Caenorhabditis elegans: one gene and its partner. The protein of the gene in region 1 interacts with the protein of each later gene in a biochemical or structural test. Each region holds a gene or a part of one and is shown in the gene's direction. Other genes may lie near its edges.

Region 1 (6,191 bases):
GTGTGACGTCACAGTTGACCTCGCCTTGGTTGCCCCCCTCCACAAATAACCTTTTCATATCGAGATAGCAGTAGCTGCACCCTTTTTTGATAATGCTGTTCAATGATTTTATCAGTAGTATGATATCTGATTTATCTGTAGCAAAGAGTTTGAACCGATTTTTTGAAAAGTGTTTTACGATTTAGATCTATCAAACCTTCAAAGATACCTTAAATTGAGCCTAAAAAACTATTTATATTGTTAAAGCAATAGAGGTTTAGTACATATATTTTAAATATTTTTTTTGAGAAATCTACAGCAATTTTTCTTAAACATTTAAATACAAATATTTGGAACATAATTCTGTCATATCTAATTTATATCTATGTAGTCTGGAAAATAGTCCAATATGACTGAACATCACATTATAACCATTCCCAATTTTTTTAGATATTCCAAAATTTTAGTAAAAGTTTTGGCATATAGGCAAATTTTTCCAAAATCTGGACATATTTTTGAGTAATTGATGCAGATTTAAACTTTTTAAATGGTGAAATGCAAACAAATAAAACGGAATTAAAATATTAAAATCGTTTAAAAATATTCTTTGCTCCACTTCCAAATCTAAAATGAATCTGAATTATGAGTTTCCACCACTGAAATAAAACTGTAACGTTTTTTGTGGGTTTTAGGATGTTTACGCTTACCTGAATATTATGCAATAATTTTAGAAAATTTGAAATTTCTTTTGGTGATTTCAGAATTTCAGATATTTTTTACAAAAAGATAAGCTTTTCCTGAAAGCCTTTAAATTGCTTACCTAACTCTAACCATACTGAAAGCCATCAAAATTTTGGCCAGAAAGTTGAACTATTATGAGTAGGTTGATAGAAAATCCCTTCTGACTCTTTCAAAGAAGTCACGTTCTTAAAAAAAAACCACCTCGTGATAAAGCTCGGATCCGCTCTCATTTTTTCCAACCAAATCGCTTTTATTTTCACGGCTCTTTCCCTCTCGCTCACTCTTCGTTGACCTCGGTCTCTTCACTCCCTTCAAGCATCTTGGCATCTCTGCGTCTGTCCCTCTACACACGGGGGTTCTCTCGTATGCATACCACTCTCTCTTATAATGGTTTTGCATTCAAGCAATGAATCTTCTTTTTTTGTTTTTAACTCTTTTATGTTTTAAAATAAATTGTTTCGATTTGACATGTTTAATTTGATATGCATTACACAGACAATGACTATAATTCAATAGTATGTGTTTTTAACTGAAAGGTTTCCAACTTTGAATGAATTATAAACAATCAATAAAGGGGAAAAAATCACACTAAACATTTTTTGAAGTTTTCAAAGTGGCAAATACTCAGTTTTCGGTCTTTTAGTAATTTTGGAAGTCATCCGAAAAATGTAGTTTTTTCCTAAATAAGTTGATATTCTAATTACGTTAAAACTATTTGTATTAAAAAGTTATTGGAGTTCAAACAGGCAAAAATACTCGAAATTTCTCAAAAGTCTATAACTTTGAAATTTTACCAAATTAAATTGATCTTAAAAATTCAACTTTGCGCCAGTGGCGATTTTCATGAACTTCCAGTCAAAGTTTTAGCAAATTGCCATATTTTTGAAAAGCATGAGATTTTAAGGAAATTCAGAGCTAAATTGTTTTAACACATATAATTAAAACAAAATTAAAGTATAAAAATCGTAGAATTTTTTGATCGATTTCAAAAGTTAGGAGTGGCAAAAACTGAGTAAATGCCATTTTTTGAGAGAGAACAAAGTTTTCAGAAATTTTTTTGAAACGTTTTCCTATGAAATTTGGTCATTTTGGCATTTACCCCACTGGCGCTATTCCAACTTTAAACAATTTACTGTATTTAAAAAAATTATGAAATATCCCCGCTGCTTCTACTCCCTACTCCATCTTTTAATTTTACTCTTGTTCTCCATTTTTCAAAATGCACAATTTTCAGTCAAAAATGGATGTTGTTTTTGAAACTGTGAACTGCCTCGAGTCAAATAGAAAGATCATCATTGTCAAGCTACCAGATGGATCTTCAGAAAAGTTCTTCTTCAACGTGACAAAAAGAGCCTTTGAGAAGATTGTCTGCGTAGATGGTAAACCAGTTCAAATGGACAGTGACCTGACTCCCCATCACTCGGTATGGTGCCCACACATTCATAAGAACATCATTTTCGCCTACAACCACTTACTCCGAATGAACCTCCAATATCTTTTCGACTCGGAAACCCTGAGTTTTCACGAAACGAAATGCGATCAATGTCATCTGGATCCGAAGAAATCGACCAATGTCAAGCAGATTTTGCTCGTCGCGGCGAGCCCAAAAATAAGAAGACCAATTGTTCTCACTATGAGCCAGGAAGGAAGAGTTTTGAAAATGTGTTATGATGAAATTGAGAAAAATTATGTGGATATGTCACCAACTGAAATTAAAGCCTTGACACAACTGAAGGATGGTTAGTTTTTAAAAATTAAAGAATTGAAACAGTAAATTTGAAAAACGGAAACGCAGAAAAATGTCAACCTGAATTTTTTTTGCATTTTTTCACCGACTGCAAAAAATGCAATAATTTAATGAGCTGACAGCCCGTCTGAAAGCATTTCTAAACAGTTTTTCGAGTTCAAAGTGGACCTCTAGTTTAAAATTTTTGTAGGTATCTACATAAAAAACGTACTCGTTCAAATCCCGAATCAGGCCCAAATACACGTAGAAGCGTTGGACAACTGTCCATTCTAAATCCTAGCTGGATTACTAGTTGAACAAAATAATGAACATTTGACTAACATAAAAAAAAGTGGAAAAATCAATAATTGGTTCTGCCCATATCTTGGTTCGATTTGAGTGATTTTCTTTAAAACAAATTTTAAAACGAAATAACAATTGAATATTTCAGTGACCGCAGCAATGGAAGATCTTACACTGGACAGCAAAGTAATGGAAAGTGACCTGATCCCATTGGTCAAGGAAAAGAGTGTCTTCTTACCACATGACAGTATTCTAATTGCTAAGAACAAGAAAACCAACAAAATCGGACAATATGTATTCGATAGATATCATCATCAATTTCTTGAGGTAGTCATGTCCGACATCGAAATTAAGCAAGAAATGCCAAATATCGCGAAGCTTATCAATGTGACAATGAGCACAAAAACTGAGCAAGCAATCAGTATCAGATGTACCCCTGGAATTGGAGAACTGAAGAAATTCCATTATAATCGGGAGACAGCATCATTTGATCCAATGGAAGAAAAGGCAATTGTTGAGAGTGATGAGGAAATTCAGAGTTTTATTGAAGAGATTGAAAAAACGCAGGGTGAGATTAGGAGAAGAATGTCTAATAATGTGAAAAAGATTTTTGCAGATATTGTATGCAAAAAGATCAAAGCAATCCTCTGGTTTTATCATAATGTGAAACCATTTTTGGCAAAGAAACTTGAGAATCCTGTCAAGAAAAGTTAGTTTTACATACATACTTTAACTGTTTTTTTTTTCACCTAAAACTGAAATATTTTCAGATAATGACTACAAACGTTACGTTTTCAAACCAGTGGAGCCGGAAGAAAAAGTCGATGATGAAATGGATTCGGTGTCCGAACCAGAATCTGATTCTCTCTCGATGAGCTCCTCTAGTCGGAGCAGTAGCCGTAGCAGCCTGTCGAGCGATGACTCTTTCGAGATGGTCGTCGATATTGATTTTGTTGAGTAGTGGCTGAAAACTAATAAAATACCCTTATACAGTGCGCGTCAATGTTATAGGACCCCCCTCATTTTTTTCGATATTGGGAAACTGAAAAAATTCCATGAAAAACTTTTGTGATATTTGGATTCAGCATGTCAAAAAACCTAGGTTCCTGTGTTTTCACGAGTTTATCATTAAAACTATAGACACACGGCAAATATTTCAAAAATTAGGCCGCGTCACTGCTATAGGACCCCCTGGGATTTTCGAAAATTTTCACTGAAAATCTCGATTTTTTCACCATTTTCAAAAAAATAAGATTGAAAACTGGTTTAAATCTGGTTATTAGCTCAACCTTGTTCTGTTTTCCAAACTTTTGTAATGATCGGAATCTTCAATTTAACAATTTTCTCACATTTTTAGACGTTGAAGCTGAACGAGAAGCTCACAAGTAACTTTTGAGCTTGAGCTTACATTATCTCATGAAACACGTATTCAAGAATATTCCTGTCAATTTCTGTCTGATTCCGTTCACAAATAGTCCTTTTGCAGCATTTTTAGTGCTGAGCTTTTAGCCTGTTTTCAGTGTGCTTCTTGATTATGAGCTCATATCTAAGCTATTCCTTGACACATTTTTTAGAAAGTAGTCAGGGAATGAAGCCCACATTTTTCACTACAAGTACCATAAACGTTGCTTGCTCCAAAAATTTCTGGTATAGCCTACACGTGAGAAAAGTTTGCGATGGGTTATAAAAAATCTTGGAAATGTACTGTGAATTGAGAATATGAATTCCGTCAATTGTAGGCTATGCCAAAAATGTTTGGTGCAAGCAACGTTTATGGTACCTGTGGTGAAAAATATGGGCTTCATTTTCTGACTACTTTCCAAAAGATTAATCAAGCCATAGCTTAGATATGGGATCATAATCAAGAAGCACACTGAAAACTGGCCAAAAGCTCAGCACTAAAAATGCTACAAAAAATACTATTTGTGAACGGAATCAGACAGAAATTGACAGGAATATTCTTGAATACGTTTTTCATGAGATATTGTAAGCTCAAGCTCATAAGTTACTTGTGAGCTTCACGTTGAGCTTCAACGTCTAAAAATGTGAGAAAATTGTTAAATTGAAGATTCCGATCATTACAGAAGTTTGGAAAACAGAAAAAATTGAACTAATAACCAGATTTAAAACAGTTTTTAATCTTATTTTTCTGAAAATAGTCAAAAAATCGAGATTTTCAGTGAAAATTTTCGAAAATCCCAAGGGGTCCTATAGCAGTGACGCGGCCTAATTTTTGAAATATTTGCCGTGTGTCTATAGTTTTAATGATAAACTCGTGAAAACACAGAAACCTAGGGTTTTTTGACATGCTGAATCCGAATATCACAAAAGTTTTTCATGGAATTTTTTCAGTTTCCCAATATCGAAAAAATGAGGGGGGTCCTATAGCATTGACGCGCACTGTATAACCACTTTTCAAAAAAATATATTACCCTCTAAAACAAACAGACAACACTTTTTGCTCACTTTTCGAGACATTATGAATGTGTGCAAAAAGAATTGTTAGTTTAAATCTTCTTTTGACCCTTATCCATGTTATCTCAAGTTACCACAGAAGTCATATGCTCTTGTAGAATACAGTCCCCTGTACATTGTGAAAAAATGTAGATATCTTGATGTATCTTCCTAAGCTACACGATTGTTGGTTAACATTTTTCGATTCAATAAATTTATCCTGCAGATTAAATGTAATAAAACTGTAACATCAATAAAAAGCTTCAGGTCTAGCAGACAGCAGTTCAGCAGACACACTGAAATAACATTTGTTGTGCGAAAAAATCCCGACTTTTTGTAGATCAAACCGTGATAGGACAGCTTGACACCACGTAGCATGTTTCGAAAATCTTAAACTTAACATTAAGCAATTGAACATTTGGTTGATATTATATCTTGGGAACTTTGGAAGAATTTAAAACGTAATCCCCACAAATGACAGTCCATCTTGAAGCAAACCGAATCCGATCCCAAAAGGACCGACATAATTGTTCGCTCACTTTCAATTGATTTTCCTCCTCATATGCATCAAGGATTCTCGTATTGTTCAAAAGGTTCCATTCAGGGGTGTGCGGATAACCGATTTTTTCGGCTAACGGATAAATCGGCTAATGCCGATTTTTTGAGAACCGGCTAACGTATAATTCGGCTAACGGCTAATTTCAAAATTTTCGGCTAACGGCTAATTCGGCTAATCTCAGTCATTCAAATCGGCTAATTTTCGGCTAATTCGGCTAATTCGGAAAATATTCATTTGGTTAAGCTTTTTTTGTCCATTCTGTTAATTCAGGTTTTGGGTTAATTTTTTCACTGTTATTGAGCAAATTCAGGGATGAACGACTGTTCAAATAGGAAAAAATCATACAAATTCACCACATTTTGTTTTCCAAAAAAATATGTTAGTTGAATTAGCCGAAATAGCCGATCGGCGAATTCGGCTAACATCGGC
Region 2 (4,947 bases), on another chromosome or scaffold:
TCCCCAACCTAGTCTATCACATCACAAAGTTCGGTCTATTTCTTATCTGTAAGGTCTTGTTATTTTCTCGTCATTATCGATTAGCAGTTTATTGTGTATCACTATCATCACTATAAAGAGCACTAACAAACACGGCTGAGGACTACTTTACTGTCACTTACTGACCTACTGAACAACGAGAGCTCGGCGAGTCAGCCCACTGTCAATAACTCTCATGAGTTGCGCACCCGGTGGGCTGCGTCTCTTGTTTTCACGCTCTTTTCACGTGTTCTACGGACCATGAGGTCCTTTATTTGGGCATTCTCCCCCGTTCATTACCAACGCTACTATTCCTCGTCCTCCTTTCATACACACACAGTGCACCACCCCATGAGCTCTCATGCTATCTCCTTATTCTGTTCTTATTCCTTCTCCGTCTCACATCGAATCCTCTTGCATTGGCAGATCTCTAGCTTGTCCGACTCTTCTTGTTGCTACTTTGTTTTCTTTGCCATAAATGGAAACTTTGGTGAATATGTAGTAACCCAACTCCATTAGTATGTGAATAGAATTTCAACACATTTTCCAACAAAAATTTACACTTGTCAGTCTTGCTCATTCATAGAAACTAAAATTTTCCTTTTGACTTTTTTGCGTATTGCAAGGAACGGAGCAAGAGAAAACGAGCGCCTGAAAATTGTAGAGCGCTGAGATGCGAGCGACGTGTTTTCCCTTTCTTCAGTCGCCTAGCTGAAAATTCAATATTTATATCAGTTTCGTTTCTCCCCCTTGTTGTCTTTGGAGCACACGCCGAGCTTGTTTAGAATGAGAATCTGGAAGAATTGTTTGTTTGTCGCCGAGTTTTTTTCTATTTGAGTTCTTTACCCCGGAAACGACAAAGAGAGCAAAATTTTGTCTTGCAAATATACGATTTATAATAATACTGAGTATTTTAACATAGCAATGTAAAATTTGGTTTACTTAACTTTCCCTTTTTCTCACTCTCAACTGTCAAACAGCAAGATCCGCTGGTGATAATGAAAACCGGTTCCACACAATGCCTGCCACTATTCAATCACTTTTTTTTTCTCCAATGGTCACCATTTCTCTTGAAATTTGAGGATCTTTTGAGACGTACCTGGGTGGGTTAAAAAGAGCAACTGTCTAGCACAAGATGCGCAGGCTCACCCTCATCCAGTTTTACTGCATCAGCTGTTTTCAGTGAGCAAGAAAAAGAAAAAGAGGGACCACGATGTCATTGCTCTTCTTCTTTTTTCTTATATTCTCCCCACTATTTCTCTTGCCTGAGAAAGCTTCCGGCAGAGCGCGTTTTCCTTTTTTAGCTGTTGCTTGAAGCGTGCATCCGTGTGAGTCTTACACAATTTTGGCTGTTTATTTCTGCACTCTCTTCAAATAATACAGTCGCCGCATTGTCCTTTACCATTTACTGTCTTCGTTCTCTCAACCTACAGTGCCGATGCCTACATTGCCTCTTTGTTCACGGCGCATCCTTCGTTTTTCTTCCCTCTCTACTTTTCCGCTTTTGCTAGGTTCTCTCCCAGTTTGATACATGTATCGTGTCTCTGATGTCAGGTGACTGCAGTTGTCAAAACCACGAAGCACCTGTACCGTTTCCATTATCGACAGTCTCTGTCGAATAATATAGACTAGTCAAGTAGAACCCACACCATACAAAAAATTTCAGTTTTTTTTTGGAATTTTTTCCTAACATTGTTCGCATAATAAAAGTCTTAATTCTTCAAACATTCTAAAAAATTATATTTTTTTTCAGTTTCACAAATGACTCTATCAACATTTAATCGAGTATGGTGCAAGGTAATGCTACAGAGATATATGGGTGCATGGCTGGACAATAATTTATCAGTGGATCAGTTATCACTCGAATTAGCAAATGGATGTCTTGAACTTGATAATTTAGATATTAATACAAAGGTAAGTGGAATATTGTATGGATTTTGTAAAATGTGGATTTTTTATAGGCTGTCAGCAATGGATTTCTACAATGCAATATTCCACTGAAACTAATCGACGGATACTTGGGGAAAATCAAAATTGAAATACCGTGGCTGAGCTTGATGACGGACCCAACCAGAATGTGCATTGAAGATTTACAGTTAACGTTTAGAGGAGCCGAAGTTATGAAAATAAACGACATTGAAACTTGTGAGTTTTTAAACAACCTTTTCAGTTTTTTAATCAGTATCTGGGTTTTCAGTAACATCGATGATTGAGAGTGTTCTGATGGGACTGAGTACAGACGACATGGCTCGAAGTGTCTACGAAGAAGTATCCAAAGAAAATAATGTTGCAAGTGAACTGTTGGGTCCAGATGATACTGCTGACAGCTTCTCTGGCTTCATTGACGCCGTTTATTCTCGTTTTTGCTTGAAGATCAAACATTTAACACTTCGATTCGAAACCGATCCAAAGAACAGATCAACTATGGCGACAGCACTCGAAATTCGTGTCGAAACGATCACATTTATGGATGAGCAGATGCGTTCTTGTGAGATGGACCACACAAATGCGACCGACTTAGTGACCACTCAACCACATGGTGTCGTCTCAACCACCAATTTGAGGAAGAATCTTACATTTTCTGGTAGGCATTTTAATTAAGGGATTATTAATTGACGAATTATTGCCTACATTTTTCGATATTTAAAATTCAAATTTAAGGTGTTACTTTCCATACCGATGTCTTCTCTCAAATCAACAATGACGGAATGGGTGACGAAGAGAATGTTCTTATTACCAGCATGCATATCCGTAGAGAAAAAGCCAAGCAGATGTCGCCAACAAAGTCGGTACAAAATTCATTACATCCAGAAATGTTTCAATCTGCCATGAGCGACATGGACGCATTTCATTCTTGCTATGATAAACGTGAGTTGTCTTTTTCTACAATAAAAATGGCTTCCAACGAATGACATACATTTTCAGTGACACAAGATTATTGCTCGCCTGATCAGCTCGAGACCTTGCGGACAGCTCCCGCCGAGCCGGAGCTTTTTTCTGCTCCAATTCAATGCGCAGAAGTTGTCGGGGATATTTCGTGTGTATTTCGGATAAAAAACGGTGCAAATGATGTCAATTATGCTGATGTCGATGAATCTAAGGTGGAAACTGATGTTTTCATCAAAGGTATTAATGTTTTTGCAACACCTTCACAAATTGAAATTGTTAACAGGTTTGTAAATATTTCTTTTAAACCCCAGTGTTAAAACTATTGCTTACAGATTCTTCTCATCCATCGTGACACCAAAAGAACTTGTAGTTCACGAGCAAGGAAAACCAATGAGTAAAGAAGATTATGAGAACATGACCAAGAACATGGAACCAAACCAATCAAATGAACCTCCAATGGCTGGCGCTTCTTTTGGCGGTAACTGGAATGTTGGAGAAGTGTTCCGAGAATTTGATGATTTGAAATCCATCAAAGAAAAGGAGAAGAGCGAGAAAGAAAAATTCAAAAGTCTAAGTAAGATAGTATATATTCAGTTCACTTTGAAACAAAATCAAATTTCAGAAGCCAGCGGAAACATCAAGGAAGAATTTACAGTGAATACGCATATTGGGACAGTTCTCATGTACATTCCTCATTGTGATTATATGTCATCGGACTACGCTCAACAACATGGAGGATATGCAAATGTGTTAAACTATCTTAAGAAAGAGTCTGAATCATTCTTCAAATCTATTCAAGGATACTCGTTTATGTCAAAGCACGGACTTGCAAACATTCGACAACAATCCGATTCATTCTACCCAAAAGATCATCTTCGAATTGTTGGTGGATCTCTTGGAATCACCTCAAGCTGTAAGCGAGTCGGAAACGTGGATTCTTTTTTATGCCGAGTTGTTGCCACTCATTTTGATATGTTGGAATATCTCACACCAGAGAGCGCTCCTGAAAACAGTACTCCTATTCGAATCGGACTACTTGACTATTCCGAGCAGGAAAACTTGGAAAGTGATCCCAACTTCAAAATGGTATTGAGCACTTCCTCTGAACAGAAAGGACTGACAAAAGTTGATATCCTGTTGGGAGCCGTTAAGACTGAACTTGACTTTTCTATTATTGACCGCATCTCAAATCTTATTGCATGCAGACCATTCTTCGATGAGGCCTTGACAAATTATGGCAACCGGTAAGCAATAAATTGTGCGGACACGCATAAAACCACAATTCTTTATTACAGAAACACAGTGCCGCAATTGAAGGACGATCTTTACTCGGATGTGTTAATTGCAGAGGATGACGTAAAGTCGAAGACACTGGTCAATTTGAAATGCTCAAATTGGCAAGTTGATCTGCGGATACCGAAAGCAGACCTTCGTGATCCAACTGGTTCCCGACTCCCGTTCTCTCAAAGACACGTGCATAATGAGTTTCTTCGCTTGGGAATCAAAGAAATTGATGTGTCGATTCCAATAGAGAAATCTGTTACCCTGATAGAAATTCTGTGCACGGAAATGATTGGAGACTTTTGTGGTGAAGGGCTTAATATTCCTAAACAACAACAACGAATTCTACATGCGTCAAAGAATGGATTCGATAAAATAAATTTGAAGCTTACTCTCTGCTCTGATGCGAAAAAACTGCCCGGTTGTGGAAGGAAAACTTCAACTAGTGGGATCCCAGACAGCATGATGAAGTCAGTGTCCGCGGATATAATGATGGCACACCCGAAAAAAGAAGGTCCGTTCTCGAAAGTTCCAAGGTCATACTGCTCTCATGATGGCGAAGAAACGGAAGAAATCATACAAGCTGGGACCAGAAAAGAAATACTCGATTTCCAAGAGGAATGTCAAAACTTTGCATCTACCTTCATGCTCTTCACAGTTCCTGTTCTGAAGCTTCATATTCCGGAGAAAAACTTCTTGGAAATTCTTTACAACCGACTGGTTAATGATTTGGCTCTTTTCCAACCTGCAGCTCCAGCG

Evidence for each region.
Region 2: the proteins of C35E7.6 (region 1) and atg-2 form a complex in vitro, tested with the Caenorhabditis elegans proteins (one study listed by BioGRID).

The regions. Positions count from the first base shown.
Region 1 is NC_003279.8:10,815,400-10,821,590, forward strand, and holds C35E7.6 (CABIT domain-containing protein), read left to right. Parts: upstream 1-1,942; 5' UTR 1,943-1,960; coding exon 1,961-2,459; intron 2,460-2,897; coding exon 2,898-3,317; intron 3,318-3,365; coding exon 3,366-3,458; intron 3,459-3,519; coding exon 3,520-3,710; 3' UTR 3,711-5,444; downstream 5,445-6,191.
Region 2 is NC_003284.9:6,807,325-6,812,271, forward strand, and holds the start of atg-2 (Autophagy-related protein 2), read left to right. Parts: upstream 1-1,770; 5' UTR 1,771-1,779; coding exon 1,780-1,932; intron 1,933-1,979; coding exon 1,980-2,163; intron 2,164-2,215; coding exon 2,216-2,602; intron 2,603-2,679; coding exon 2,680-2,886; intron 2,887-2,943; coding exon 2,944-3,190; intron 3,191-3,239; coding exon 3,240-3,481; intron 3,482-3,529; coding exon 3,530-4,151; intron 4,152-4,202; coding exon 4,203-4,947. UniProt on the Caenorhabditis elegans protein: Lipid transfer protein involved in autophagosome assembly and in the distribution of atg-9 and atg-13 during the autophagy-mediated degradation of protein aggregates.